Callithrix jacchus: one gene and its partners. The protein of the gene in region 6 purifies or fractionates together with the protein of the main gene of each other region. This does not show direct contact. Links are inferred from orthologs where the notes say so. Each region holds a gene or a part of one and is shown on either strand. Other genes may lie near its edges. The genes, in order: EHMT2, AMPD2, DYRK1A, MECOM, WDCP, CTBP1 and THAP11.

The links.
Region 1: the proteins of CTBP1 (region 6) and EHMT2 purify together in Homo sapiens (affinity purification with mass spectrometry; 4 studies listed by BioGRID and IntAct, counting the BioPlex papers as one, with this or other methods). This does not show direct contact. The link is inferred for Callithrix jacchus from reciprocal best matches to the Homo sapiens genes CTBP1 and EHMT2.
Region 2: the proteins of CTBP1 (region 6) and AMPD2 purify together in Homo sapiens (affinity purification with mass spectrometry; 3 studies listed by BioGRID and IntAct, with this or other methods). This does not show direct contact. The link is inferred for Callithrix jacchus from reciprocal best matches to the Homo sapiens genes CTBP1 and AMPD2.
Region 3: the proteins of CTBP1 (region 6) and DYRK1A purify together in Homo sapiens (affinity purification with mass spectrometry; 4 studies listed by BioGRID and IntAct, with this or other methods). This does not show direct contact. The link is inferred for Callithrix jacchus from reciprocal best matches to the Homo sapiens genes CTBP1 and DYRK1A.
Region 4: the proteins of CTBP1 (region 6) and MECOM purify together in Homo sapiens (affinity purification with mass spectrometry; 6 studies listed by BioGRID and IntAct, counting the BioPlex papers as one, with this or other methods). This does not show direct contact. The link is inferred for Callithrix jacchus from reciprocal best matches to the Homo sapiens genes CTBP1 and MECOM.
Region 5: the proteins of CTBP1 (region 6) and WDCP purify together in Homo sapiens (affinity purification with mass spectrometry; 3 studies listed by BioGRID and IntAct, counting the BioPlex papers as one, with this or other methods). This does not show direct contact. The link is inferred for Callithrix jacchus from reciprocal best matches to the Homo sapiens genes CTBP1 and WDCP.
Region 7: the proteins of CTBP1 (region 6) and THAP11 purify together in Homo sapiens (co-immunoprecipitation; 4 studies listed by BioGRID and IntAct, with this or other methods). This does not show direct contact. The link is inferred for Callithrix jacchus from reciprocal best matches to the Homo sapiens genes CTBP1 and THAP11.

What each region holds. Positions count from the first base shown.
Region 1 is NC_133505.1:39,388,664-39,392,163, reverse strand, and holds the end of EHMT2 (histone-lysine N-methyltransferase EHMT2), read left to right. Parts: intron 1-4; coding exon 5-120; intron 121-234; coding exon 235-321; intron 322-1,832; coding exon 1,833-1,911; intron 1,912-2,082; coding exon 2,083-2,258; intron 2,259-2,662; coding exon 2,663-2,843; 3' UTR 2,844-3,159; downstream 3,160-3,500. UniProt on the Homo sapiens protein: Histone methyltransferase that specifically mono- and dimethylates 'Lys-9' of histone H3 (H3K9me1 and H3K9me2, respectively) in euchromatin.
Region 2 is NC_133508.1:147,522,367-147,525,866, reverse strand, and holds part of AMPD2 (AMP deaminase 2), read right to left. Parts: intron 3,461-3,500; coding exon 3,371-3,460; intron 1,167-3,370; coding exon 1,037-1,166; intron 858-1,036; coding exon 663-857; intron 577-662; coding exon 445-576; intron 320-444; coding exon 156-319; intron 1-155. UniProt on the Homo sapiens protein: AMP deaminase plays a critical role in energy metabolism. Catalyzes the deamination of AMP to IMP and plays an important role in the purine nucleotide cycle.
Region 3 is NC_133522.1:43,472,155-43,475,654, reverse strand, and holds part of DYRK1A (dual specificity tyrosine-phosphorylation-regulated kinase 1A), read right to left. Parts: intron 3,408-3,500; coding exon 3,283-3,407; intron 1-3,282. UniProt on the Homo sapiens protein: Dual-specificity kinase which possesses both serine/threonine and tyrosine kinase activities. Exhibits a substrate preference for proline at position P+1 and arginine at position P-3.
Region 4 is NC_133518.1:17,955,799-17,959,210, reverse strand, and holds the end of MECOM (histone-lysine N-methyltransferase MECOM), read right to left. Parts: intron 2,036-3,412; coding exon 1,901-2,035; 3' UTR 501-1,900; downstream 1-500.
Region 5 is NC_133515.1:91,202,616-91,206,845, reverse strand, and holds the start of WDCP (WD repeat and coiled-coil-containing protein), read right to left. Parts: upstream 2,801-4,230; 5' UTR 2,705-2,800; intron 600-2,704; exon of another isoform or gene 511-599; intron 1-510. Other genes in the region: peptidyl-prolyl cis-trans isomerase FKBP1B, read left to right, coding at 2,999-3,257.
Region 6 is NC_133504.1:191,923,913-191,927,897, reverse strand, and holds the start of CTBP1 (C-terminal-binding protein 1), read right to left. Parts: upstream 2,801-3,985; 5' UTR 2,609-2,800; intron 2,605-2,608; exon of another isoform or gene 2,567-2,604; intron 2,355-2,566; exon of another isoform or gene 2,153-2,354; intron 1,613-2,152; exon of another isoform or gene 1,438-1,612; coding exon of another isoform or gene 1,398-1,437; intron 1,163-1,397; exon of another isoform or gene 1-1,162. UniProt on the Homo sapiens protein: Corepressor targeting diverse transcription regulators such as GLIS2 or BCL6. Has dehydrogenase activity. Involved in controlling the equilibrium between tubular and stacked structures in the Golgi complex.
Region 7 is NC_133521.1:25,372,943-25,376,465, forward strand, and holds THAP11 (THAP domain-containing protein 11), read left to right. Parts: upstream 1-1,163; 5' UTR 1,164-1,398; coding exon 1,399-2,325; 3' UTR 2,326-3,023; downstream 3,024-3,523. UniProt on the Homo sapiens protein: Transcription factor, which has both transcriptional activation and repression activities. Also modulates chromatin accessibility.

The DNA of each region.
Region 1 (3,500 bases), on a different chromosome or scaffold from region 6:
CCAGGATGGGCGATTGCTCCAGGAATTTAACAAGATTGAGCCCCCACTGATTTTCGAGTGTAACCAGGCATGTTCCTGCTGGAGAAACTGCAAGAACCGTGTTGTACAGAGTGGCATCAAGTGAGGCCCTGCTCCACAGCCCTCTCTCTCTCTCCCACCTCACCCTTTCCTCCCTGTCCCTCGGGCTTTTGGATGGAGGGCTCCATTCAACAATGCCCTCTCTCCTACCCCCAGGGTTCGGCTACAGCTCTACCGAACAGCCAAGATGGGCTGGGGGGTCCGCGCCCTGCAGACCATCCCACAGGGAACCTTCATCTGCGAGTAAGTCATCAGGGGCACCTTGACATCTGGTGGGAAGGGGACACACGCCCACTGCTGACTGCCACGCCTCCCTCTCAGCCCCCTGCCCTGATGGGTCACATGTCTCCATCTGGCCACTCTCCAGCCAGCCTTCTCTGACCCACATCCCCGAAGCTGAGGATGGCACCTGCCTCCACTCTGCCCAGACCAAAGAGCCTGAGTTCCCTCCCCTCCACCCTCTCCTCTCCCTTCCTAGCTAGGGAAAGTGCCAGTTTGGGAGACAAACAGACTTGGGTTTGAGCCCCTCTCTGCTTCTGGATGTCCTTGGCCAAGTTATTTAACCTCTTTCAGCCTTATTTTTCTTGTCTGTGGAGTGGAGGTGATAACAGCTACCTTTCTGTCCACCACCTCAGGGGTCTGTCCCTCTCCATCAGTTCTTTCTCTGCCCAGCATCTGTAATCTCCCCCTTTCTCCTAGCTCCTATCTCACAACCCTCAGTCTCACCTTGGTCTCCTTTGGCCTTTCTTTTTTTATTTTTTATTTTTTTTTTGAGGTGGAGTTTTGCTTTCAATGCCCAAGCTGAAGGGAGTGAATGGTGCGATCTCAGCTCACTGCAACCTCCACTTCCCAGGTTAAAGCATTCTCCTGCCTCAGCCTCCTGAGTAGCTAGGATTACAGGCACGTGCCACACACCCAGCTAATTTTTTGTGTTTTTAGTAGAAACGGGGTTTCACCATGTTAGCCAGACTGGTCTCGAACTCCTGACCTCAGATGATCAACCTCCCTCGATCTCCCAAAGTGCTGGGATTATAGGCATGAGCCACTGCACCTGGCCATCCTTTGGCCTTTAAAATATATAGTCTTCTAGCCCTACTTGCCTGTTCAAGAGACCATCCAGTTTCTCTCCATCATGTCATCTCAACTTCTTGGGCAAGCAGCTCCTTCCTGCTGGGCCTCAGTTTCCCCACCATCCACTCCAAAATTGGCCTTTGCCCTTCCCACTCTGTGGAAGCTGTCTCTTGACAGTCACTCCCCACCCCACGTCGTCTGCATGTGTCTCGATCTCCTGGCATCTGCTCACCCCTCCTTAGGCTGCTGACTCCTCTCCTCCCTCTGGTGTCCAGATGTAGGTGCTCTTGCCCTCCTCATGCCCTGAGCTCCTTGCCACTCCTCCATCTCCGGCTCTTCCTGCAGCCCTGAGCCCCTCCTGTCCTACATTGCCTGTTTTTGCTGGGTGGCTCCTAGTACACAAACCTCTGTGTCCAAACCCAAACTTCCCCACCCAGGCCAACTGCCCCTGCACACTAATTCCCTTAACCACAGAGCTTTGCATCTGTCGCTGTGCTGACTGGAGACTTCCTCTGTCGAGCCTGGAATGCTGCCATTTCCACCACTGCTGCTCCAGGCCTTCCCTCACCTACACCTGCCAGCCCTGCCTATTCCAGATTCCACGGGCTTATAAGGAGATAGGGGCCTGGAGCCACCTCCTAGTAGTCCACACAGCTTCAGAACCATGGATTCCTGTCCCACAGGTATGTCGGGGAGCTGATCTCTGATGCTGAGGCTGACGTGAGAGAGGATGATTCTTACCTCTTCGACTTAGACAACAAGGTGAGCAGGAAACCCTCCTTACCCTGCTGTTCCCCAGGGCTGGCTTTCAGGAGCCCCTGAGAAGTCAGCAAGTGGAAACCTGGGGAGGAGGGATTGGGGAGTCAGTGGGTGGGGAGGGTGATCAGGCAAGCAGGGTGTGGGGAGATGTGAAGAATGCCATCCTCCCCCCAGGATGGAGAGGTGTACTGCATTGATGCCCGTTACTATGGCAACATCAGCCGCTTCATTAACCACCTGTGTGACCCCAACATCATTCCCGTCCGGGTCTTCATGCTGCACCAAGACCTGCGATTTCCACGAATTGCCTTCTTCAGTTCCCGAGACATCCGGACTGGGGAGGAGCTAGGGTGAGACTCTAGGGGTCTTTAGGGACTCTGCCAGGGCTTCGAGATGCAGCAAACCTGGGACCTGAAGCCTGGTGTGTACCTGGTGTCCAGACAGGGATTAGTGCAGAGCTTCTCAGATTTCAGTGTACATAAGTATCTCCTGGAGGACTTGGTGAAACAGTCCTGAGCCTCCCAGAGAGAATCTGATTCGGTAGGTTTGGGATGGGGCCCAGGATTCTGCGTTTCTAGCAAGTCCCCAGACAGTGCTGGTGCTGCAAGTCCATAGAACATACAGGGGGCTCAGAGTCCATCTGGAGAACATGGGGTGGGTGCAGGGTCCCTCTTAGGGAGTGCGATCCACGGGGTCTTCGGGGTGGGCTCTCAGCTGGGTCCAGGTCCCACAAGCTCCTGTTTTCCTCTGACAGGTTTGACTATGGCGACCGCTTCTGGGACATCAAAAGCAAATACTTCACCTGCCAGTGTGGCTCTGAGAAGTGCAAGCACTCAGCCGAAGCCATTGCCCTAGAGCAGAGCCGTCTGGCCCGCCTGGACCCGCACCCTGAGCTGCTGCCCGAGCTCAGCTCCCTGCCCCCTGTCAACACCTGAGAATGGACCACACCCTCCCTCCCCAGCATAGGCCACAGCTCAGTCGCCTCCTCTGTCACCAGCTGCTCGCAGCCCATGCCTGGGGTGCTGCCATCTTCTCTCCCCGCCACCCCTTCACACATTCCTGAACAGAGACCCCAGCCAGGCCCTGGAGGTCTGACAGCCCCTCCCTCCCAGAGCTGGTTCCTCCCTGGGAGGGCAGCTTCAGGGCCACCCCCCTGGTCCCCATCCTCAGTTGAAGTTTGATGAATTGAAATCGGGCCTCTATGCCAACTGGTTCCTTTTGTCTTCAATAAATGTTGGGTTTGGTAATAAACTGCGATTTTTGTGTTGGGGCGGGGAGGAAGCATACTCAGCCAGAGGGAGGGTGGGTTCAAGAGCCAGAAAGGGATGGAAAGCAGGCTGGATAGGTGTGGCTGATGTGACAGCCAGTGCAGGGTGCCAGTGGGGTGGGAGGTGTGTGGGTGGCCACCATGAAAATCCAGTGGAAGGATTATAAAGGGCCAATTTCCAGGCACAGTGGCTCACACCTGTAATCCCAGCACTTTGGGAGGCCGAGGCAGGTGAATTCACCTGAGGTCAGGAGTTCAAGACTAGCCTGGCCAACAAGGTGAAACCCCGTCTCTACTCAAAATACAAAAAATTCGCTGGGTGTGG
Region 2 (3,500 bases), on a different chromosome or scaffold from region 6:
CTGGACAGACCATGGGTGGGACTAAGAAGCCCTTCCTCATACTCAGAGGAGTTGGCAGGGACAAGGGAGGCTTAATCATCCCAGGAGGGCAGGAGGCAGGCCCTGACCGTTGAACATGGCCCCACAGTTCTCTTCCCATTCCAAGGGACACTCACAAGAGGCGGGGCACCTGCACCAGCCAGCGCACGTTGGGGGAGTGCACGCGGTGCATGACGGCCCAGCGCGCCAGCTTGTCCCACTCATCCCTCGAGCGCCCATAAATGGAGAGCCGAAGCTCTGCATTCTGGTATTTGCTCTCCTCCAGGTCCGACATCACCTCCTAGACATGAGGTGAGCTGAGTCAGAGCTCTTCAGGGGCCATCTGCCCACCCTCCTAGAATCTCACCCCACAAAAGCCCCCAGATCCTCAGGCTCGAGGCTTGGCAGGGAAGGCTGCCTCCTCACCTTGATGATGTGAGCAAAGTACTTCCCAGATACCCTGTTGTCCGTCTTGATGAAGATCTCTCGGAGAACGGACTCCCCAATAGGGTTGTATTTGGCATTAAACTTGTCAAAGCGATGGAAAGTGTTCCTGTCCTGGGGGACACGGGCAGGCTCAGGTCACCCCTGACTCCTGGTCCCCTGGCTGACTCAGTCCCACAGCCCACAACACTGGCACAGACCGCATGCACATCCAGCGTGTCCACACTCAGGTCGTAGGCCGTGAGGTTCATGCTCTCGAAGACCTCCCGCAGCGTCTGCTCACGGCCCTGCTCCACGTGCACGATCTCCTCCAGGTGCCGCTTCATCGCCCTCTTGATGAAGCGCAGCAGGTGCTTCTGGTTCATGCAGGATGAGGCGTGGATGTGGGTGTCCACCTGGGGTGGAACAGGGCGCTGCTGGTACACCGGAGGCTGGGAAGGTCTGGGGCCCAGGGTAGTGCGATGGGAAGGCACCCTCTGTCCTGGATGCTGCGTGGGGGGCCTGGCCCTTGAAGAGGAGGCTGGGCAAGGGTGTGGGACCAGGACATGGAGAGGACCATGGGCTGAGGGCCCACCTTGCGGATGTTGTAGAAATCTCGGTGTGGCACTTTCTTCTGGGCGGCCAGCTCCTTCATCTCATTGAGTAGCACGTGCATCTGGAACTTGGAGCTCAGGTACTGCAGCCGGCGGTAGCAGAATGACTTTCTGGGCATGAGGAGAACAAGGCAGGGACTTAGGCCCTGAAGGGAGGCACCTGGGGAGGGCCCTGGTAGCAGCTCTTCGGGAGCAAGTGGGAGGGTTAGAAGGGAGCAGGTGGGAGGGTAAGGAGGGAGCAGGTGGGAGGGTAAGGAGGGAGCAGGTGGGAGAGTGAGGAGGGAGCAGGTGGGAGGGTGAGGAGGGAGCAGGTGGGAGGGTGAGGAGGGAGCAGGTGGGAGGGTGAGGAGAGAGGAGGTGGGAGGGTGAGGAGGGAGCAGGTGGGAGGGTGAGGAGGGAGCAGGTGGGAGGGTGAGGAGGGAGCAGGTGGGAGGGTGAGGAGAGAGCAGGTGGGAGGGTGAGGAGGGAGCAGGTGGGAGGGTGAGGAGGGAGCAGGTGGGAGGGTAAGGAGGAGGTGGGAGGGTGAGGAGGGAGGAGGTGGGAGGGTGAGGAGGGAGCAGGTGGGAGGGTGAGGAGAGAGCAGGTGGGAGGGTGAGGAGGGAGCAGGTGGGATGGTGAGGAGGGAGCAGGTGGGAGGGTGAGGAGAGAGGAGGTGGGAGGGTGAGGAGGGAGCAGGTGGGAGAGTGAGGAGGGAGCAGGTGGGAGGGTGAGGAGGGAGCAGGTGGGAGGGTGAGGAGAGAGCAGGTGGGAGGGTGAGGAGGGAGCAGGTGGGAAGGTGAGGAGGGAGCAGGTGGGAGGGTGAGGAGGGAGCAGGTGGGAGGGTGAGGAGGGAGCAGGTGGGAGGGTGAGGAGGGAGCAGGTGGGAGGGTGAGGAGGAGGTGGGAGGGTGAGGAGGGAGCAGGTGGGAGGGTGAGGAGGGAGCAGGTGGGAGGGTGAGGAGGAGGTGGGAGGGTGAGGAGGGAGGAGGTGGGAGGGTGAGGAGGGAGCAGGTGGGAGGGTGAGGAGGGAGCAGGTGGGAGGGTGAGGAGGGAGCAGGTGGGATGGTGAGGAGGGAGCAGGTGGGAGGGTGAGGAGGGAGCAGGTGGGAGGGTGAGGAGGGAGCAGGTGGGAGAGTGAGGAGGGAGCAGGTGGGAGGGTGAGGAGGGAGCAGGTGGGAGGGTGAGGAGGGAGCAGGTGGGAGGGTGAGGAGGGAGCAGGTGGGAAGGTGAGGAGGGAGCAGGTGGGAGGGTGAGGAGGGAGCAGGTGGGAGGGTGAGGAGAGAGCAGGTGGGAGGGTGAGGAGGGAGCAGGTGGGAAGGTGAGGAGGGAGCAGGTGGGAGGGTGAGGAGGGAGCAGGTGGGAGGGTGAGGAGAGAGGAGGTGGGAGGGTGAGGAGGGAGCAGGTGGGAGAGTGAGGAGGGAGCAGGTGGGAGGGTGAGGAGGGAGCAGGTGGGAGGGTGAGGAGAGAGCAGGTGGGAGGGTGAGGAGGGAGCAGGTGGGAAGGTGAGGAGGGAGCAGGTGGGAGGGTGAGGAGGGAGCAGGTGGGAGGGTGAGGAGGGAGGAGGTGGGAGGGTAAGGAGGGAGCAGGTGGGAGAGTGAGGAGGGAGCAGGTGGGAGGGTGAGGAGGGAGCAGGTGGGAGGGTGAGGAGAGAGCAGGTGGGAAGGTGAGGAGGGAGCAGGTGGGAGGGTAAGGAGGAGGTGGGAGGGTGAGGAGGGAGCAGGTGGGAGGGTGAGGAGGGAGCAGGTGGGAGGGTGAGGAGGGAGCAGGTGGGATGGTGAGGAGGGAGCAGGTGGGAGGGTGAGGAGAGAGGAGGTGGGAGGGTAAGGAGGGAGCAGGTGGGAGAGTGAGGAGGGAGCAGGTGGGAGGGTGAGGAGGGAGCAGGTGGGAGGGTGAGGAGAGAGCAGGTGGGAGGGTGAGGAGGGAGCAGGTGGGAAGGTGAGGAGGGAGCAGGTGGGAGGGTAAGGAGGAGGTGGGAGGGTGAGGAGGGAGGAGGTGGGAGGGTGAGGAGGGAGCAGGTGGGAGGGTAAGGAGAGAGGAGGTGGGAGGGTAAGGAGGGAGCAGGTAGGAGAGTGAGGAGGGAGCAGGTGGGAGGGTGAGGAGGGAGCAGGTGGGAGGGTGAGGAGGGAGCAGGTGGGAGAGTGAGGAGGGAGCAGGTGGGAGGGTGAGGAGGGAGCAGGTGGGACGGTAAGGAGGGAGGCTGCCAAGAGGGCAGTAGAAGTCTAGGGCTCAGCAACTAGGAAGGGCAGGACACCAGGTGGCAGGAGTCTGGGGCAGAGTTGGGGCTGGAGAATCTGGGCTGGGAGGCGAGCTAAGTGTCTGGGGTGTCAGGGGACTCACATGGGGCCATTGATAATCAGGGCCATGAGCACATTGACGTCAGCCACAAATTCCTGCAGGTCGGGGTATGGCAGCTCCACCTCTAAGCAACTGGCATGGAAGGGAGCTTGGTGAAGAGAGCAAGCCCAGC
Region 3 (3,500 bases), on a different chromosome or scaffold from region 6:
GATGGGACACAATTGTAGGCCTAATTACTGAGGAGGCTGGGGGGTGGTTGGCACGGACTGCTTGAGCCCAGATGCCAAAAGCTGCAGTGAGCCGTGATCACACCACTGCTCTCCAGCCTGGGTGACAGAGCAAGACTCTAGCTCTAAAAATAAACAAACAACAGGTGAATGGTGAAGAGACTTATGAAATATCTAAACGGAATACTATGCAAAAAAAAAAAAAAAAAGAATGAAAAAGCTCACTATGTACTGATACAGACAGTGCTCCAAAATGTATGGTAAGACTAGAAAAACCAAGATGTTTGGAAGACAGGATGCCTGGTGTGGTTCCATTAGTGAACAAAGGGTGGATGAAGAATATGTGTTTCTATCTGCTTATATATATGCATAAAATATCTCAAAAAGTATACAAAAAACTAATAACTAATAACAGTGGTTTAGAAACTGAGGGGCTAGAAGGCATGGAAGGAAAACCTTTCACTGAATTCTTTTTTATTTGCTTATTTTTAAAACCGTGTGACTATATCAACCACTCAAAAGTTAATAAAAAAGGATTTGAAGCAATATCCTGACCTCTGTGAAATCCAGGTGGGAGGAACATGGTATCTTATCCTACCCTTTGCACTCCTGTATGTGTTTGTGATATAAAACAGATTTGGAAGAAAGGACAGACGAATAAAGATTCAGGGGAAGCCCCTGGGAATAGTGATACTTAAGACTCGAAGGATAAACAGTAGTTACCAAAGCAAAAGGAGGAGGAAAAGTGTTCCAGGCTGAGAGCACAGGAAATGTGAGAGAAGTGACAGAGAATGTGGCATATTACAAAAACCGAACAATAAACCAGTGTGACTAGAGTCAAGGAGAAAAAATGGCCTGGGTGGGAACCAGATCCCGGAAAGCACCGACGCCACGGTAAGAGGTCGACATCTCGTTTTAGCTATAAGGGCAAGTCAAAACTGGCTTAAAGCAGGGAAAATAGGCTGGGCACAGTGGCTCATCCCTGTAATCCCAGCACTTCAGGAGGCCAAGGTGGGTGAATCACCTGAGGTCAAGAGTTCAAGACCAGCCTGACCAACATGGCAAAACCCTGTCTCTACTAAAAATATAAAAATTAGCCAGGTTTAGTGATGCATGTCTGTAAACACAGCTACTCAGGAGGCTGAGGCAGGAGAATCACTTAAACCCAGGAGGTGGAGGTTGCAGTGAGCCAAGATCGTGCCATTGCACTCCAACCTGCGTGACGGGGCAAGACTCCGTCTCAAAACAAAAGGAGGGAAAATAGCAACAACAGACTGTTTTAGCGAAAGCTCACTTGCCTACAGGGAAAAGAATGGTGCTGGCAGGTGAATGGAATCAGACACTGGAAGACTGGTTAGAGGACTCTTTCCAGTAAGACAAGTCATAACAATGAGTTAAAGTGAAAGGCAGAGAATAAAAATGTATTAAGATGCGGTGAATCCAGATCATCTACTGTCTGATTCAGCGTGGGGAAAGAGGGAGAGAGGAGTGCCCCCAGATTTATGACTTGAACAAATGTGTAAATTTAGGGCCATTTTTACAAAGAATGGTAGAAGTCGAAGAGTTGAGAAGGAAGTGAAAATGACATCCGCTTATGTGCAATTTTACCACTGCACATTGTCGAGACTTTCAAGGTGACATTTATAGTAAACAATTAGAAAGGCCCTAGGGTTCAGAAGTGAAGTCTAATCAGAAGTTGAGACTCAGGAAAAACTGGCATAAAGATGGTGACTGCAGGCCCTGGCAGGAGTGGCTGAAATCATCAAGGAAACGTTAAGGGGAGCAGTACAAGGACACAGGTCACGCCTCGAGGAACAACAAGGTTTCATAGGTGGGTAGAAGAAAAAAACCCAAAGAGACAGGAGAACATCCTGCCAAGGAAACCAGCAGTGAGTATTTCAAAGAGGGGAAAAGTCAACATTGCCAAATGAAGCTGTAGAATGCAGAAAGACAGCATTAGGGTGTCCAGTGGACTCATGAATAAAGGTCACCACTGACCCTGACAGGAGAGCTGGAAGGCAGGACGTAAGTAGAATAAGCAAGGAGGTCTTCAGAGTAGAGGCAAAGACACCACAGGTAGAAGAAGTGTAGGGAAAGAAAGACAGGGGACACACAAAGGTACGACTTAAGATGGAAACGGCCTGAGAATGAGGAAATGCTGATTAACACAAAGAGCCAAAAGAGGAGAGGCTGAGGACACAGGAACCGAGGAAGACCAAAGGGCAAAGGCCCCATGAAAGCAGGAGAGAGGGGGTCAGGGCACTGAGTGGGCTTGGCCTTAGGCAAAAACAAACACATTGCTTCTAACAAAAAAGGGGTAGAGGAGAAGTGGACAGCGCCATGTAGGCAGGACCATGTATTCAATGCTACAAAGTAAAAGGAGTTCATGCCTGAAGACTCTTCCTTACAAAGCAAAGAGTGGCTGACGACAGAGAAGGGGGGCGGGGGGCAAAGTTTCTAAGAGTAGAAAAGTCTGAAACAATTATTAGAATAAGGGACGATGGGACAACTTGGGAAACACGTAGGACTGCCCAGCAGAGGCTGGTGAACATGAACAGTACGACAAACAGCTGCATGTGGGACTTTCTCCAGCACCATTCAGCTGCCCGAGTCGCAAGAATGGAATCAACAGCAGTTTTACTCATCCACAAAACACTACACTGGCCTCTCACCATCAAGCAAAACTCAGCATGAACAAACTTACAACTTTATTAGGTTATAGAAATATTTGTGCCATCACCATCTGCTTCACTCAGATTTTCAGAGTACTTAATTGGATCCTCTTCTTCAACAGGTTTAAAAACAAAAAACAACAACAAGAAACAGGGGCTAACATCAAACCAGAAATTGATTCAGAATCCAGGGCTACACATGCTAAAAAATCATGGGAGGAAGCAGAGTCGAGTCATGAAGATCATGACCCACGAAAATGTACTCCACCCACAACATCTCAGTTTCCACTGTAAAATGGGAATCAAAAAAGCATGAGGCTCAAAATGCTGCTTTGGTAAGTGAGATAAACAAAGGAAAAACTGTTCGAAACAACTGCTATGCCCCCAGTGAGGGTTAGCCACTTCTAGACAAAGAGGAAGAGAACTGCACCAATGTGCTTCTCTGTGATAAATACTGACATTTCCTTAGACATGAGACTGTCATGAACCTTTAGGGTAAATGAAACAGTCATTCTAAAGGCACCTGGCATCCAGTGCTGCTCCACCTGAGCACGGCAGGTGACACAAGCAAATGAACCACGTGCGAGCTCACCTGGGGACTGTGTGTCTCGCAGTCCATGGCCTGCACAGCAGCTGTGAAGTGCCCGCCGCTGTGCCGATGCTGGTGCGTCGGATCTGACCGGGCTCTCCCACTGTTGCTCGTCCCCGATGAGCCACCTGAAACATCACAACACAAAATAATACAAGTGTGAGTTTAAAATTCATTTTGTTCAAATGTATACTCCAAAGCTATATCATTATATATTGAAA
Region 4 (3,412 bases), on a different chromosome or scaffold from region 6:
CCATGAGCAAAGAAAGAAAAAACAAATCATGTTTAGACTCTGGTTATAACAATGAACAAAGGATATTTTGCATATGGACAAAAACTTAAAAGGAGCATAGAAAAGTCAAAGGTTTCCCCCCCTTTGTGAATCATTTGACACATAATGAAATACAAAAATAAGAATCTGAGTTCCTTTTGGCATACAATCTGCAGAAAACCTGTAAGTCCCTCTTTGTCCTGATTTAAGTGGATACTGTGAACATGAAGCGATACCAGGACTGGGCAGCGGCACTTAAGCCCCAACTGCAAAACATGCGGAAAGTTCTGAACGATGAGAAGACTCACTATTGCCCAAGAACTATCACTTAGGCTATCTCAAAACAAAACAAATATGCTCTGGATTTCACATATCTGTTAGGACATCAAGATCCCAGCCATCATATATTTAAATCATTGGATCCCAAAGGGAAAGGAAAATTGCATGAAGGGAAAATACCACACAGTGGGGAAAAATACTCCTTTTTGTAAGTCTTTATTTTTTAGTTGCTCCTCCCATAGTAATGCACTGAAAGGCATAACAGTTTATATTGTACAAAGCATTTGAAGAAAGTACCTCAACTTGCCGATTATTTCAAAATGAGATTACAAACAAAAAGAAAAAAAATCTGGTTCCTCAATAAAGGGGAAAAATAACTGAATACAGTCTGTTATTTCCTTCTCTCTTTTAACATAAAGTTGGGAACACTTCATTTTACAAATAGGATTAACATGAACATAACATCGCACAAGCTTGCAGACAACCAGCATAAAATATGGAGTACAGCTTTTAATCAGAAGAATCATGCTTCCATGAAAGAAATTATAATCGTTTATACAATTGAATCGATTTCAGTATTACAAAAACTAAGTTGCATCTATTCGTATTTAGTTCATTAAGAAGGAAAACAAAACAACAACAAAGAAAGGAATGTTAAGAAAAGCCAAACACCATTTGGCACTCTCATACACAGGTCGGGTCACCTTGGTCCTTGAAATTCAGAAAGGGGTGTGCCTCAGACGTCATAAAGTAGTGGCTGACTGGAACAGTGCTATTTTAATCAACAAACAATAGTTTGCCAACAAATAAATACATGATACACGCAACACACACAAAAAAATAAACATTAAAAAACAGCGACATGATTGTCTAAAATTAAGATGTTATTACAAGGATTTGCCAAACAATTTATTAGTGGTACAGCGGTACTGGTGATGAACAGGTTACTTCACTGACTTAACCTCTTTGAGTGTGAACATCCATAGTTTACAATATACACATACCCTTTTTCCCTAGTTTTCAACAATGTACTTAGGAAGGCAAAAGGGGGAACAAGAACTCCCTGTTATCAGTTTCTATAACAATTGACTGTGCATTTCATCCAACTACTTCTGTCTTCAAAGGGTTAAATTACATAAAACTTTAACGAAGAAAAAAATTAAATCTGTAATTAAAAGCAACTGTTCCCAATCATGTCAGGTGATCTTGTACAAAAAAAAAAGAATTCAGTTTCTATGGAGTGTTCATTCGTATCAACGCTGCCATCTCAACTGCCCCTCTCACCCACCCATACCCTAAGGTGGGGTAAACTGGAAGATGCCTTCAGCCCAGCAAGTTTTTTATTTTCATTGAATCACTGTAAGTCGCACTGATTGATCTTCCAGAAGTCAGCAGCTGCCTTTGCTGTGCAAAACAAAATATCGAGAATAAATAGTTTCTTTTTTCTTTCTTTTTTAAATCATTCAGTTTAAGGTCACTAGACTTTAGATGAGTGACCCTGCAGGTTTATAAGGCATTCTGCTCAGCAGTCTTGTAAATAGTCCTATATGAAAGAGCCATGCTACTGTTGGACTTGGTCCCACTGTGGTCAACCTTGGTAACGTCATACGTGGCTTATGGACTGGATAGCACTGGATTCCGCCGCAGCTCTGGCCATACTGTGCCACACGTTGGAAGAACTGTGGGATGTAGAATGGAGGGACTCCTTGTCAGACAATGACAGCATCATAGCATATGCCTGGGGTAAAAAGGAAAGAGACTCAGTAAATGGCATTTGAAAATCATCCCTTTTGGTTCAAAGAATATTGGTGGCAAATGGAAAGGGATGGGACCCTGAGTAGGGGTATCCTTCGTGGGTGTGTTTGGCAAAGGAGGCATAGCATATTTTTTTGTAGAAATGACATGGGATTACTGTTGGCCTTTAGTGCCTAGAGGCCCCAAAAGTGACATACCCTCCCAAACAAAAAATTAACTATCCTATCTAAAATGCAAATAGTGTGCCTCCATTGAGAAAAATGAGTAATTCTCCTGTCCAACCATAAATACAGCCATCCATCTACTACATATGTTCAATTCATCAAAAATATTATTGTGTGCTTATGACTGAACTGCAAATATTAATAGGATATAGACCTACCTTGACAGAGCTGTGGCCTCGTAGATGATACAGCCTGACTCCTACACTTTATAACCAAAAGCACTGAAGTCGCTTGAGTGACTTGCCCAAAGTCACTCAATTAGATAGTGGGCGAAGCATAACTAAAGTGTATTTCTGCCCAACTTTTAATCCAGTGTCTTTTCTCCAATTTCCCTTAATGCTTGACATGCTCAGTGCTGATACCCAAAGTTAAGGTGGATCAAATCAGCTCTACCAAAAAAATAAAACAAAACACAAGACCCAACAAATGTTTTAATCAACTTATTTTCTAGTGTCTGCTGAGCAGAAGGTGCATAGAGGTGCTCTGTGAGGAACTGCTCTTTCTTCCCTATTATCATGTCAAATTTTAAATAACTGTTCAGAGAATCCCCCATTTACTGCCAAGCAAAATATTCAAATGAAATGTTTGGTCTTGACTTGTGCGTGAACTTTTCACTGTTGATTTGCTATTGTTGGTCTCATCCATTGCTAAACTTGCTTGTCAAAATGCTGCTGAAGTGGAATCATTAAAGTCCTGCCAAAGACATTCCACTGTCTGTAAACAAAGACAAAATGCCTCTGTTGTTAGGCAGAATTTCATCTCTGGGAGTCATGCTGAGACATGTGGCCAGTCTGTGGTTTCTTCGTAATCACTGCATTCAGTTAGAAAATCTGCCCTTGCAGGCTGATTTTGATTTGCTGGGTCATCGCTCTAAATGTACACATTTGACTTTTGTGTATGGAGTTTGCCTTTTGGACCTCTACAATATCCCACGATCCATTTAACAAATATTTCTTAAGCATCTACTCTGTGCCAGGCTCTGTGTTAGATCCTGAGGAATTAAAAATAAATAATATAGAGTTCTTATCTTTGGCAGAGTTTAAAGTATGGGCTAAGTGAGCATTGAACCTAAATTATCGATTCTGATTATGTACCTACTTTTAGAGAACAAGATAAAGAATATTCTGAAAGAGTTA
Region 5 (4,230 bases), on a different chromosome or scaffold from region 6:
AATATTTTTCAGTCATGGTGTGCAACTTTGTATCACGATTTTCACCTAGCATTATATAATTAGCATTTCCCCATGTTATTTAAACGTTTTATAAATTAGTTTTAGAGCCCACTTCAACACTCAGTGAAGTGACAAGGTACTGAACAGCTCCTGGCTGTATCCAACTTTACCCCGCTATAAATAACGCTGTGACCGAGGTCTTAATGCTTAAAGCCCATTTCCTGACTTTGGATGACTTCCTTGGAACACATTCCCAGGAGTATTATTCACGAGTCACAGTCATATTCGCTCGTTTACACCCACACCCAGCGCGGTCCTCATTCCGCGACCCCTCACACGCGGCCCGCCCCATTCTCCTCATGCTCTGCGCACTCCTGAATGTCCTCCCTCCCTCCAGACCCCCATCCCCCATCCCACCTACCCCCCCACCCCCGCTCCGGTCCACTTCCCTCCTGACCCCCTACAGCCTCCCCACATCCGCCAGGCCCGGCAGCAGTGGAGACAAAATACCTTAGGTCTCACTGCCTCACAAAAACACCAGCTTCCCTGAGGCAGCCCAATATCACGCCGCCGCAGATCAGAAGCTTTGGGCAGTCACCGGAAGCACCGGCTCTCAGACCTCTGATAGGTGAGCGGTGGCCGTGCACGCTCCGCGATGGCCCCGTCTATTGGCTTTTGAATGTGCACGTTAGGAGAGGGTTTGTCCCACTGGCCAATAAGCTCTGGCTCTGCCTCACGGATCGCTGGGAGTAGTAGTTCCCATGAAACCACCGACCGCAAGCCCGCCACATTTTTTCTTCCCCAAAGCACTTGAGCTCCTCCCCCGCTTCTCTTTGGTTCTCTTGTCTAAGGCATTCAGGAGCCCTAGGATCAACACGGGTTCTTAACCTTCTTTAGATTCTGATAAAATCTCTCCAGGAAAATGTTCTTATCTGTACCCAAAATATTGTGCATTCAACTGAAGCTGCTTCATGGGACTGTCCCGGCTACAAATCCTTGTTCTACACCGACCCTAAGCGTGCCTGCTCTGGTGCATCCCTTAGGCTTAGTGCGTTCCTGAGGCTTCTGTAGACCAGCTACACTCTTGGAAGACTCTGGGCCATATCTCGGAGCAGCCCATGAGAAATTCCAGGTCATGACCTTCACAGTACAGTTAACCATCGTCTTTCTTGAACAACACAGCCCGTCCTCCTTCAGGGATGCAGACAACCTCATCTGGGACCTAAGCATACAGGAGAGTGGGAGTCGGGAAATGGAGGAAGAACACCCTTGGGGCTCATACTGGGCCCGTCTGCCAGGTTTTTTTTCCCCATGCCTATCTTCCAGTGCCACTTAGCAGAATCATACCTTCACATCAGTTTTTGTTTATGTTTTTCTTTTCTTTTTTTAAAAAATAAAAACGGTATGCCTATAATCCCAGCGCTTTGGGAGGCTGAGGCGGGTGGATAACCTGAGTTTAGGAGTTCAAGACCAGCCTGGCCAACATGGTGAAACCCTGCCTCTACTAAAAATATGACAGCCAGATGTGGTGGCTCATGCCTGTAATCCCAGCTACTTGGGAGGCTGAGACACGAGACGAGAGGCAGAGGTTGCAGTGAGCTGAGACTGTGCCACTGCACTCTAGCCTGGTGACAGAGTGAGATTCTGTCTCCAAAAAAAAAAAAAAATAGAGACGGGATCTCTCTTTGTTGCTCACACTGGTCTCGAACTCCTGGGCTCAAGCAATCCTCCTGTCTTGATCTCCCAGTGTTGAGATTACAGGTGTGAGCCATTGTTTCAAAAATTGATTTGCCCGGCCTCACATCAATTTTTGGAACAATGCAGATAATAATGAGGGGGGGAAAGTTTTAAAAGTCCTAATTACCCTTCAAACAAATGTTACCTCCTCCAGAAAATATTTTTCTACATTCTTGAATGTGTATTTAGGTAAAGGAGGAACTCAAAGTAGAATTCATTTACATATTCATTCATTCACTCCACTGTCCTAATCACTCCACGCGGTAAATGTGTATGCCCGCCCCTCTCGGACTTAGTACCTGGAAGACAGCCATCCTGTCTTAATTCAATTGGTATCCCCAGGGTGCATTTCTTTGCCTTGAAAATTGAGTACCCAATAAATGTGCGTGGAGCAGAACTACGCGAGATGGAGAACAGGGGTTTAGGGGTGTAGGGGAAGAGTCAGCAAGGACTGATGTCCTCCCTCCCTCCCCCAGCTCTGCTCCTGCAGATCCAGGACGCCTAGCCAGAGTAGGAACCTCTCTGGTGCTTCCGCAACGCTCTGAACTGCAGGGTACTGAGCGCATCTACTTAGAGTGATGGTTTCATTAGATAGTAACACAGCGAGACCCTGATTCTACAAAAAATAAAAAATTAGCTGGGCGTGGTTGCTCGCCCCTCTAGTCCCAGCTACTAGGGAGGTTGACGCAGAAGGATCGCTTGAGAGTTAGAGTTCGAGGTTGCTGTGAGCTAATGATCACGCCACTGCACTCCAGTCTGGGCGACAGAATAAGATCCTCTCTCTAAATAAAAATAAAAATAAAGTGATGGTTTAATTGTCGGCCTTTGCCTCTCCTCTCCCTCACCCCCCACAAGTCTGTAGGACCGGGTTAACTCCCCAGAGCTTAGCACAGATTCGATGCTAAATAAATGTGTTTTGGACGGATGGGCTAATGAACGGATAGATGGAGGATGAGGGGGTGCTCACCACGCTTCCCGGTCAGTGGATTATTGTCGTCAGCGGGGCTAGGCTCGCAAACAACCGGGCGGGTCCCTTCCCCCGGGCCCCGCCCCGGCCGACCCCACCTTTCCGCGCGGCTCCGCCCCGCCGCCCCCTTCCCAGTGGCCCCTCCCCGCGCAGGTCCCGACTCCAGCCGCACCTCCTCCGGCTCTGCAGTGGCGGCGGGGAGGCGAGCGGGAGCGACTACGGGGCCGGGGCCGGAGCCGAGCCGGGGTCGGGCAGCAGCAGGGACCCCCCGGAGGCGGGGCCTGTGGGACCGCTATGGGCGTGGAGATCGAGACCATCTCCCCTGGAGACGGTACCGGGCTCCCTCCGGAGCCAGGGGAGGGGAGTGGTCCCGGGGCGGAGCCCGGCGGGCGGGGGTCTGATTCGGAGGTGGCGCGGAGGGTGCCGAAGGGTTGGGGGGACTGGGTGGGGAAGGCTGGCGGAGACCCCGGACGGGATTCTTGGGGGTCTAAGAGACCGTCCTCCACCATCCTCTTCCGCGCTCACCTTTGGGAATGTAGGCGGCAGCCCGGAGGTGAGGTCTGCGGCCCGGAGGTGGGGGTCTGCGTCCCGGAGGCGGGGGTCTATAGCCCGGAGGCGGGGGTCTGCGGCCCACCACCGCCCGGGGCTGATGCTGTCGCGGCTGCAACCGCTCGGTTTTCCGCTGCTGCAGATACCCAAGGCTGGGTTTCTGCTTCTCTTTCCTTGCCCTGCTCAGCGAGCTCTGGAAACCAGGGAAGACCTGCTCTCCGGTCTCCGCTGCTCGGGACTTCCTCCTAGCGCGTCCCCCGCCTGGCCTCCCGTCGGGCCCCCGAGGGCCCGCTGTGAGCGGCTGTGGGGACAGACCCAAGCTGGAAGGGGGAAGCGCTCCCTTGCTCGCTTCCGCACCTCGCTTTATCCTCCCGCCGCATTCAGACTCCCTGGCCACCCTGTCCACTCCCATGGCCTCCACATTGAAGCTTCTAAGCCCAGCCCTCCGACCTGCCAGACCTCTCCCTGGACGTCCCAGGGTGTGCCCTCGTCAGCAAGTTCAAAACAGAACTCACGCTTCCAACCTTTTCCTCTGAGTGATCCTTCTTACTCCTGTTCTGTGTCTCATTTTCCCAAGCCCTTGTATTATTGGGCCTGGGTATGCAAGGAATAGTCATTTCTTTATTTCTTGAAATTTAATTCATACCAAAGCCCACATTGTCTGCAGGGTTTGATGGGCAAACTTCTTATCAGATATTAATATGAACAGCTCCCCTCCTGAGGAAATTGGGGGACTTCTTGGCTCCAGGCCATCTTCCTTGTCCAATCCCAACCACTACCTCGGATCTCCCCTGGGGTACAGGCTTCTTTGCCCATGCAGGAAACCTTGGTGCTGGGTCTCAGAAAGCATCTCCCTGAGGCCTTGTCATCTCCAGCAGCCCCTGAAGTGGTCTCCCCGTCTTCAATCTCTCCTCCCTGCCTTCAATCTCGTTCCCAATCTCATATTCACTCCCTTTCTACACCATAGTCTGAGGACT
Region 6 (3,985 bases):
GGGCAGAGCCACGCCCAACGAGGTTCCAGGACAGAGAAAGGGGTCCCACAAACCGCAGCTGTCATCCTCAGCTGCAACGGCAAATAGTTCCCCACGGTGCTGCCCCAACACCGTCCCAAGTCGCAGCTGGAGACGCGGACGCGCAGAGGCCACCCCCTGGCCGGGAAAGGCCGGGAAGGCCGGGGTCACCGCGCTAGCTCAGCGGGGACAGCCGAGGTGCGGGCCCAGCCGCCAGCGCCTTTCTTTCCCTGAGGAACGTGCGCCCCTTGCCGAGCTCCTTCGCAAACGGTGGAGAGGACTCGGGGGGCCCGTGCTCCACGGAGCTGGACGGGGCACCCTGCGCACCCGCCGCCTCGGCCAGACGCCGGGCCCTGTAACCCCGGCTCTCAGGGTTCCCCTCCCCAGCTCGGAGCACCGGGAACAGCGCGCCCGCCCTCCCTCTTCCCCACTGGAAGGGATTCTGTCCGGGCAATCACACAGACTAGAGCAGCAGGGCTCCGGCCCCGGCCCGCGGCTCAGGCGCACGGGCTCTGCCTTTGCAGCCGAGTCGGAGGTGGGGGCAGACGCTCCGCGGAGCGGCCCGGGCCGGCCCAGAACGCGGGCACTGCAAGATGGCGATGCCTGCGGGCCCGGCTCCCGCCCAAGCTCCCTGCTTCCGCAGCCCGCGGGGAAGGCGCCCGAGGACCAGGGCGGCACCAGGCACGAGCAGGTGGGGGCGCCGGGCGGGTCCGGGACTTCGCGGGGACGGAGACCCCCGGGCCCTCCCGCGTCACAGCCGGGGGCTGCGCTTTGGGCCCGGTCTCAGGGTGGCGGCCTCCTCCGCGGTCAGACCAGGCGCCCGGGGCCCGTCCTCTTTCCCCACAGCGCGCCGCCACCGTAGCCGGCGGTCTCCGGGCGGGCGGGGCGCGCTCCCGCGAGTGGCCCAGGGAGCGCGCCCCAGGACGTCCCGAGCTGCGCAGGGCGCACCCCACACCTCAGCCCCGCAGGCCCAGCCGCGGGGTCATGACTGGGGACTGGGTCGCGGCCGGGGATCGGGACTCAGGGGGCCGTCCCGGGTCCCCAGGGCCTAGGGCCAGTGGAGCCGGGGGATCCCGCGGGGCAGCCAAGAGGCCCGCAGGCCCCTTTGTGTCACCTGCGCGGGCCGCGGGCGGGGCGGGCGGACAGCGGCGCTCGCGCACGCGCACCGGTACGCAGCCGTCCGCGCATGCGCACCACCCCTCCCGCGGTCCCGCCCCCGGTCGCGGCTACGCGCGGGCGCTAGCGCGCACGCGCACTCGCACACAAAGCCGGCGGCCTGCGGGCGCGCGCTCAACCCGCCCCCGCGTCCCCCGCCCGCGCGGCCTCCGCCCCGCCCCGCCCCCGCCCGCGGCCGGAAACGCGCGCGCGCGCGGCCTTACCCAGCGGCAGGCCCTTGTTGAGCAAGTGCGAGCTGCCCATCGAGAGGCGCGGGCGGCCGCGGGCCCCGACCACTCCGGCGCGCTCTGCCGCCGCGAGCCCGGCGCTTGGGGCGGCCTCGGCGCCGTCCGCTGCTCCGCCCGCCCGCCTGCGCCTGGCCGCCGCCGTGCCGAGTCTCCGCCGCGCCGCTGAGCCGCGCTCGGACGACCGCGCGGGCGGGGACACGGCGGCGCGCGCGGGCGGGGCCTCGCGGTTGGTCTCCTGGTTCCCGGCGCGGGCGGCGGGCGGACTCACGCGGGCGGCTCAGGGCCCGCCCGGCCGGGGCGCGGCCGCGGGGCGGGGCGGGAGCCCGGCGGGAAGCTGGTCGGGGTTGCAGCCCGGCGGAGCCCCGGGGCCCGGAGTTCTGTACGTTCTAAACCGCCCGTCCCCGAGGAAGACGGGCAGGGTCGGGCCGTCCACCCCGAGGCCCCTGCGGGACTGCGCCGCCGGCCGGGCCGGGCCGCCCACGTCAGCGCCCGGCGCGGGCCGGAACGTAAATGGCGCTCCTCCGCGCCGGGGCCGCCCCGCTCCCTTCCCGCCCCTCCGGCCGCCGCCTCCCGCGTTCGCGCCTCGGCCCGCGGCCTGGCCCTGCAGCCGGTGCGCGGCGGGGTCCGTGCGCCCCCGGGGAGCCTGTCCTTGCGGTCCCGCTCTTCCCGCTGCTGTCCAGGGTCACCGAGGCCGCGGGACCCCGTCGCCTCCACCCGGGCCCTGAATTTACCGTCCGAGAGCCGGCCGCACTCGGGGCCCCGGGAGAAGCGCGCTCGCCCCGGTGCCTCCCCCGCCCGGGGACCCGGACTCCCGGAGGGGCCGCGTTCTGCCAGGCCCGGGAAGCTCAGGGCCGGAGAACCCCCTCCCCGACCCCCTCTGTCTTTAACAAGAGTGGGGTTTGTAGCCGACCGGCGTCCTGGCAGCTCAGCTCCTCTTTCCATAATTTGGGTTAAGGATTAATAGCAAAGCCCCGCCCGCTGCAGGAGACGTCCAGACCCCGGCCTGCTCCCCCAGGGGCTGCCTCTGCGGACTCTCCAAGGGCCCAGGGATAGCGAGTGGACGCTTCCCTCCGCCCCGTGGGGAGGGCCTCTGCGGGGCTACTCTGAGCACCCCGAAGTGTTTGCATAGTTTCGGATACAACAGTATGGATCCTGAAAGACGCAGACTCCTCTCCGCTGCCAGGCACCTGCTGTGGTTCCTGAGGACGCGTCCTGGGCTGGCCTGAGAAGCTCCAGTTTCCCCTTCAGGGCTGGGAGGACCTCAGACCCCGCTGACAGTGCTGGGGCCCTCAGCCAGCCTGCCCTGCGGGCCACTTCCTATTCTCTTTCAGACGCGCGCTGCGGAGCTGTGGCCTGGAGGAAGCCTGGCAGGTGTCACCAGAGCTTTGGAGACATGGGGCTCTGCCGGGGAAGCCCAGTGGGAGTCATGAAGGAGGGAACATGTGTGGAGCCCTTGTAGGGGTAGGGACAGTCCTGCAGAGATCTAAGAAAAGAATATTCCAGAAAAGTGAGCAGCAACTTCCAAGGCCAGGCATGGGTGCAGGGGACAAGGGGCCGCCACTGGAGGGGCCTAGGTGAGGCTGCCGGGAGGGGACAGTGTGGTTGGCGGGGTGCACAGGCAGGGACCTCGCTGGGCTTTCCTGTCCACTGGGCATGGACCAGCAGCCCAGGAGGAGGCAGCAAGTGGCCGGGCACAGGGATGTGCCAACCCCTGCCCCCAGGGGAGCTGGGGACAGGGGGGTCGCAGACACTCTATTCTCAGGTTGTGATTTACTGGGGGGTCGTGGGTAAAATGGAGAGGCTTTTGGGGAGAAATTCCTGGCTCTGTGGTGCACTTGCAGAGCTCAAGAGGCAGCCACGTGGTGGAAGGTGCAAGGAACATCAATAAGGCTTTGGGCCCTGTAGGTGGGGCTGCCATGAGCAGCAAGCTCAGTCCAGAAGAGCAGTTCCTCTCCAGCATCCACTTCCTGCTTATACGTTGAAAGTAGCTGGAGCAGAGCACCTGGAATTCCACAGGCAGCTAAAAGCTCTGGAGAGCAATGCAGGCCAGCCAGGGATCCAGCGTCTCCCCCAGGATCACGCTCCACAGCCTACCCCCCGCACTGCTCGTTAGTGCATTATCATGTCTACTTGGCCCCAGCCCCGTCCCAATGGCTTGGCTTGTTCCAAGCACTGCATTCTCCAGCTGCGGTTTTGGCTACAGTGCTGTCTGCTCCCCACGTTGGGCAACTCCAGCCGAGATTCCTACACTCACATGTGACTGTGTTGCCCAAGGAGAAACCTCAGCTTTGGGTGTGCCAAGCCATGTGCACAGCTCGTCCCAACCCCCACAGGCCCACCTGCCTCTCCCACCTCCCGTCCTCCCCTGTGATGAGCAGATGCCCACCACCCTCTAGGGTTTGGCCGAGCATGTGCCTGCCCTCTGGCCATGGTTGAGCCTGCCATGTACCTGCACACAGGAGGGGCTCCTGGTGTTTGCCCTACACAATGGGCTGTCTGGGAGCTGCTCAAGAGTTACCTTGGTGAGGATGCCAGAGGCCTGGATTCCCCCAGCCAGCCTCAGT
Region 7 (3,523 bases), on a different chromosome or scaffold from region 6:
TAGTTTGCAGGTAATTCCCCTGGAGAACTGCCTAGGTCCTCCCGGCTTTCCACAACCTTTCTTGTTCTTTACAACATTTTCCTCCAAAGAAGGTGAGGTAGGGTGGAGGTGTCTCGTTACAATGCAAATCCTGTCGCGTAAAATCCTTTAACGGCTCTCAGTGGCCTGCAGAATAAAACCCTAAATCCTTAGCTTGTCCCAGTTTGGTATTTTCCTACGCTTCGACTACCAGGGCCACCCCCTTCCAGGCTCTTTAAGGGCGGAGCCTAGCTCTTTTCTGCCTTGTGGCCTTAGACTGGTTCCCGGGACAAGAACTGGCTATTTCTCTCTACCCAAGCTTTCGGTCGTTTTTTATTCCTGGCCCTCCCTGCCCCTGTATTTCTCTGCTCTCCTGTTCATTCCTTTGGAGCGTTTACTTTCTGTGATCCATTTGCGTGCCTTCACATCTGTAAAAGACAGACCCTCATCCTTCTATGTAGTTGGGCTCCAAGAGAGGAGCCCAGTCAGTCTGGCCACCGGAAACTCTCTGCACTGTGTCAGTCACACAGTAGGCGTCTACTGGTGACTTTGTTTAGGTGAGTAAGTGAGGAAACGCAGGCAGCAGCTGAATCAGGAGAGAGTCCCCAACGCAAAGAAAAGAGCTCCTGAGACCTTTCGGGGCGCCGAGGCCCAGGTTTCGTCTCCCTCTGCTGCAGTAATGCCGTCGACTCAAAAGGCGCTCGGGGCTGGGGGTGCTGCTTCTGGCAAACAGCACAACGTCGCCCGAATTCTGGTCCGCAGTAACTCGACCTTTCCCTTAGGCGGCGCTCCGGACCGCAGTTACGGAGTTCAGCGCGAGGCATCACGGGATTGGTAGTCTCCGTGGGCATACCCATGGCGATTGCGCACTGGCGAGGCGCGTACCGCCTAGCTCCACGCCCCTTTCAGGATTCGGGTCCTTGTGAGGAGCAGTCCAGGCGACAGCGTTCCAACCTAATACGCTTCTCTCGCCCGCCTCCGGGGACAAGCCGAGTTGAGGAAAGAATCTGCTCTTCGGAGGCTATCGCAGTGTCCTGAAAGGCGGCCGGAATCCACATACACCCGCCCCGGAAGTGAGCGGCTCCTGGCGCGGTGCATTGTGGGGGGCGTAGTCTCTTTCTCAGGCGGTCCTTCGCGGCGTCCCCGGGGCCGACTCCCGAGCGCAGGCGAGCAGCCAGGCGGGCGGCGCGGCGCGGGCCGACAGGAAGCATATTCTGGGCACGGGGCGCCGGGCGGGCCGGCTGCGTCTAGCGGCAGTGGTGGAATACTACCCAAAGCCTCGCGCGGCGCCGCCCGTCGAGGGGCGGGCGGCGGCGGAGCCACTTGGCCGTCGACGGGCGCAGGAGGCCGGTGGGCCGGGCCGGGCCTCGCGGCGCAGCCATGCCTGGCTTTACGTGCTGCGTGCCAGGCTGCTACAACAACTCGCACCGGGACAAGGCGCTGCACTTCTACACGTTTCCAAAGGACGCTGAGTTGCGGCGTCTCTGGCTCAAGAACGTGTCGCGTGCCGGCGTCAGTGGGTGCTTCTCCACCTTCCAGCCCACCACAGGCCACCGTCTCTGCAGCGTTCACTTCCAGGGCGGCCGCAAGACCTACACGGTACGCGTCCCCACCATCTTTCCGCTGCGCGGCGTTAATGAGCGCAAAGTAGCGCGCAGACCCGCTGGGGCCGCGGCCGCCCGCCGCAGGCAGCAGCAGCAGCAACAGCAGCAGCAACAGCAGCAGCAGCAGCAGCAGCAGCAGCAACAGCAGCAGTCGTCGTCACCCTCTTCCTCCACTGCCCAGACTGCCCAGCTGCAGCCGAACCTGGTGTCTGCTTCCGCGGCCGTGCTTCTCACCCTCCAGGCCGCTGTAGACAGCAGTCAGGCTCCCGGATCCGTGCCGCCGGCGCCCATTACTCCCACTGGAGAAGACGTGAAGCCCATCGACCTTACAGTGCAAGTGGAGTTTGCAGCCGCAGAGGGCGCAGCCGCTGCGGCCGCCGCCTCGGAGCTACAGGCTGCTACTGCAGGGCTGGAGGCTGCCGAATGCCCTATAGGCCCCCAGTTGGTGGTGGTAGGGGAAGAGGGCTTCCCTGATACTGGCTCCGACCATTCGTACTCCTTGTCGTCAGGCACCACGGAGGAGGAGCTCCTGCGCAAGCTGAATGAACAGCGGGACATCCTGGCGCTGATGGAAGTGAAGATGAAAGAGATGAAAGGCAACATTCGCCACCTGCGTCTCACCGAGGCCAAGCTGCGCGAAGAACTCCGCGAGAAGGATCGGCTGCTTGCCATGGCTGTCATCCGGAAGAAGCACGGAATGTGAACTGGTGCCCTGGCGGCCTGCTGGACTCCCAGACCCCATCCAGCCCAGAGGACTGCAGACCACTGTTGAACTCCTCTATACTCCTGGGGCACTGGTCGACAGTACTGAGGCTTCAGGCAACTGGACTCCCTTGCTGGTGACCTGGCACCCTCAGTTGTTTGCTCCTGAAGTGGAAGCTGGGGCCTTAGACTCTGCCCTGGTGACACCAGCAATTATGACTTTGTTTACCCTTCCTCCCCAGTTATTGTTGCAGATTCTGGTTAAGCAGAGGCTTCAAAACCATTGAACTTGAAACTTACCCTTTAGGGATGCAGGTGGGATGTCCAGGGACTATGGGTTTGGGAAAACCATACTTTAAGGTTGGTCAGCAGTCAGACAACTCTAATGTGTGTAGTGATAAGAGAGTCAAGTAACATCTCTTCTCCTCCTCTTCATGCTTTTCCTTCCCAGGTAGAGCCTGTGATTCTGATGGGGACTGGTAAATCTGTGCCTCTGCCTCCTAGGACTTCTTTCCCCAGCAGGCCATTTACAAGGGGATCTGGGTGACCTGCTGATGGAGGTCCAGCTTGCCAGGGACTTAGGTTTATCCCGTTTTGTTTGCTACTGGTTACAAATTCTATTTTCTGTACAATTAGTCAGACTAAAGTTTTCACTGTGTTTGTTTGGCAAAACAAATTAAACAAAAAGTAAGGTTTTTATTTGGGTCTCGCCATTTTATTTTTTACAAAAACATAGCTAAATGTCCTTGAAACATGGAGAAATAGGCCTCAGCCTATTTGAAAGACCAGGCTGATCCTGAAAGTAGAGATGCTTCAGTGACCAGATTTCTCCAAAAATGGGCCCTAAGCACATGGATCCTGGCCTTATAAAGTCCTCAAGAGTTCCTGGCTCAGCTCACCCTAAAGTGTTTGGAAACTGCACCAAATGGGCCCAGTTTGTCCATGGGTTATTCTCCCTGTGTCCTTTCAACAAGATGGAGCAACTGGTAACTAAGCTGTATTGTGACTGTTCACCTCTGAGGGTTTTGAATTCTCAGCTGGGATTGAATTTTGCTCACGGTAACATCCCTTAGGTTTAGCACAGCCTTTGGTACGCATGTGCATGCAGTTACTCTCTGAACCAGTGAGACCACAGCTGGAGCTAGCCAGGGCTGCTTCAGGCACAAGGAATCTTGTATAGATACCTTGGCCTTGGTACA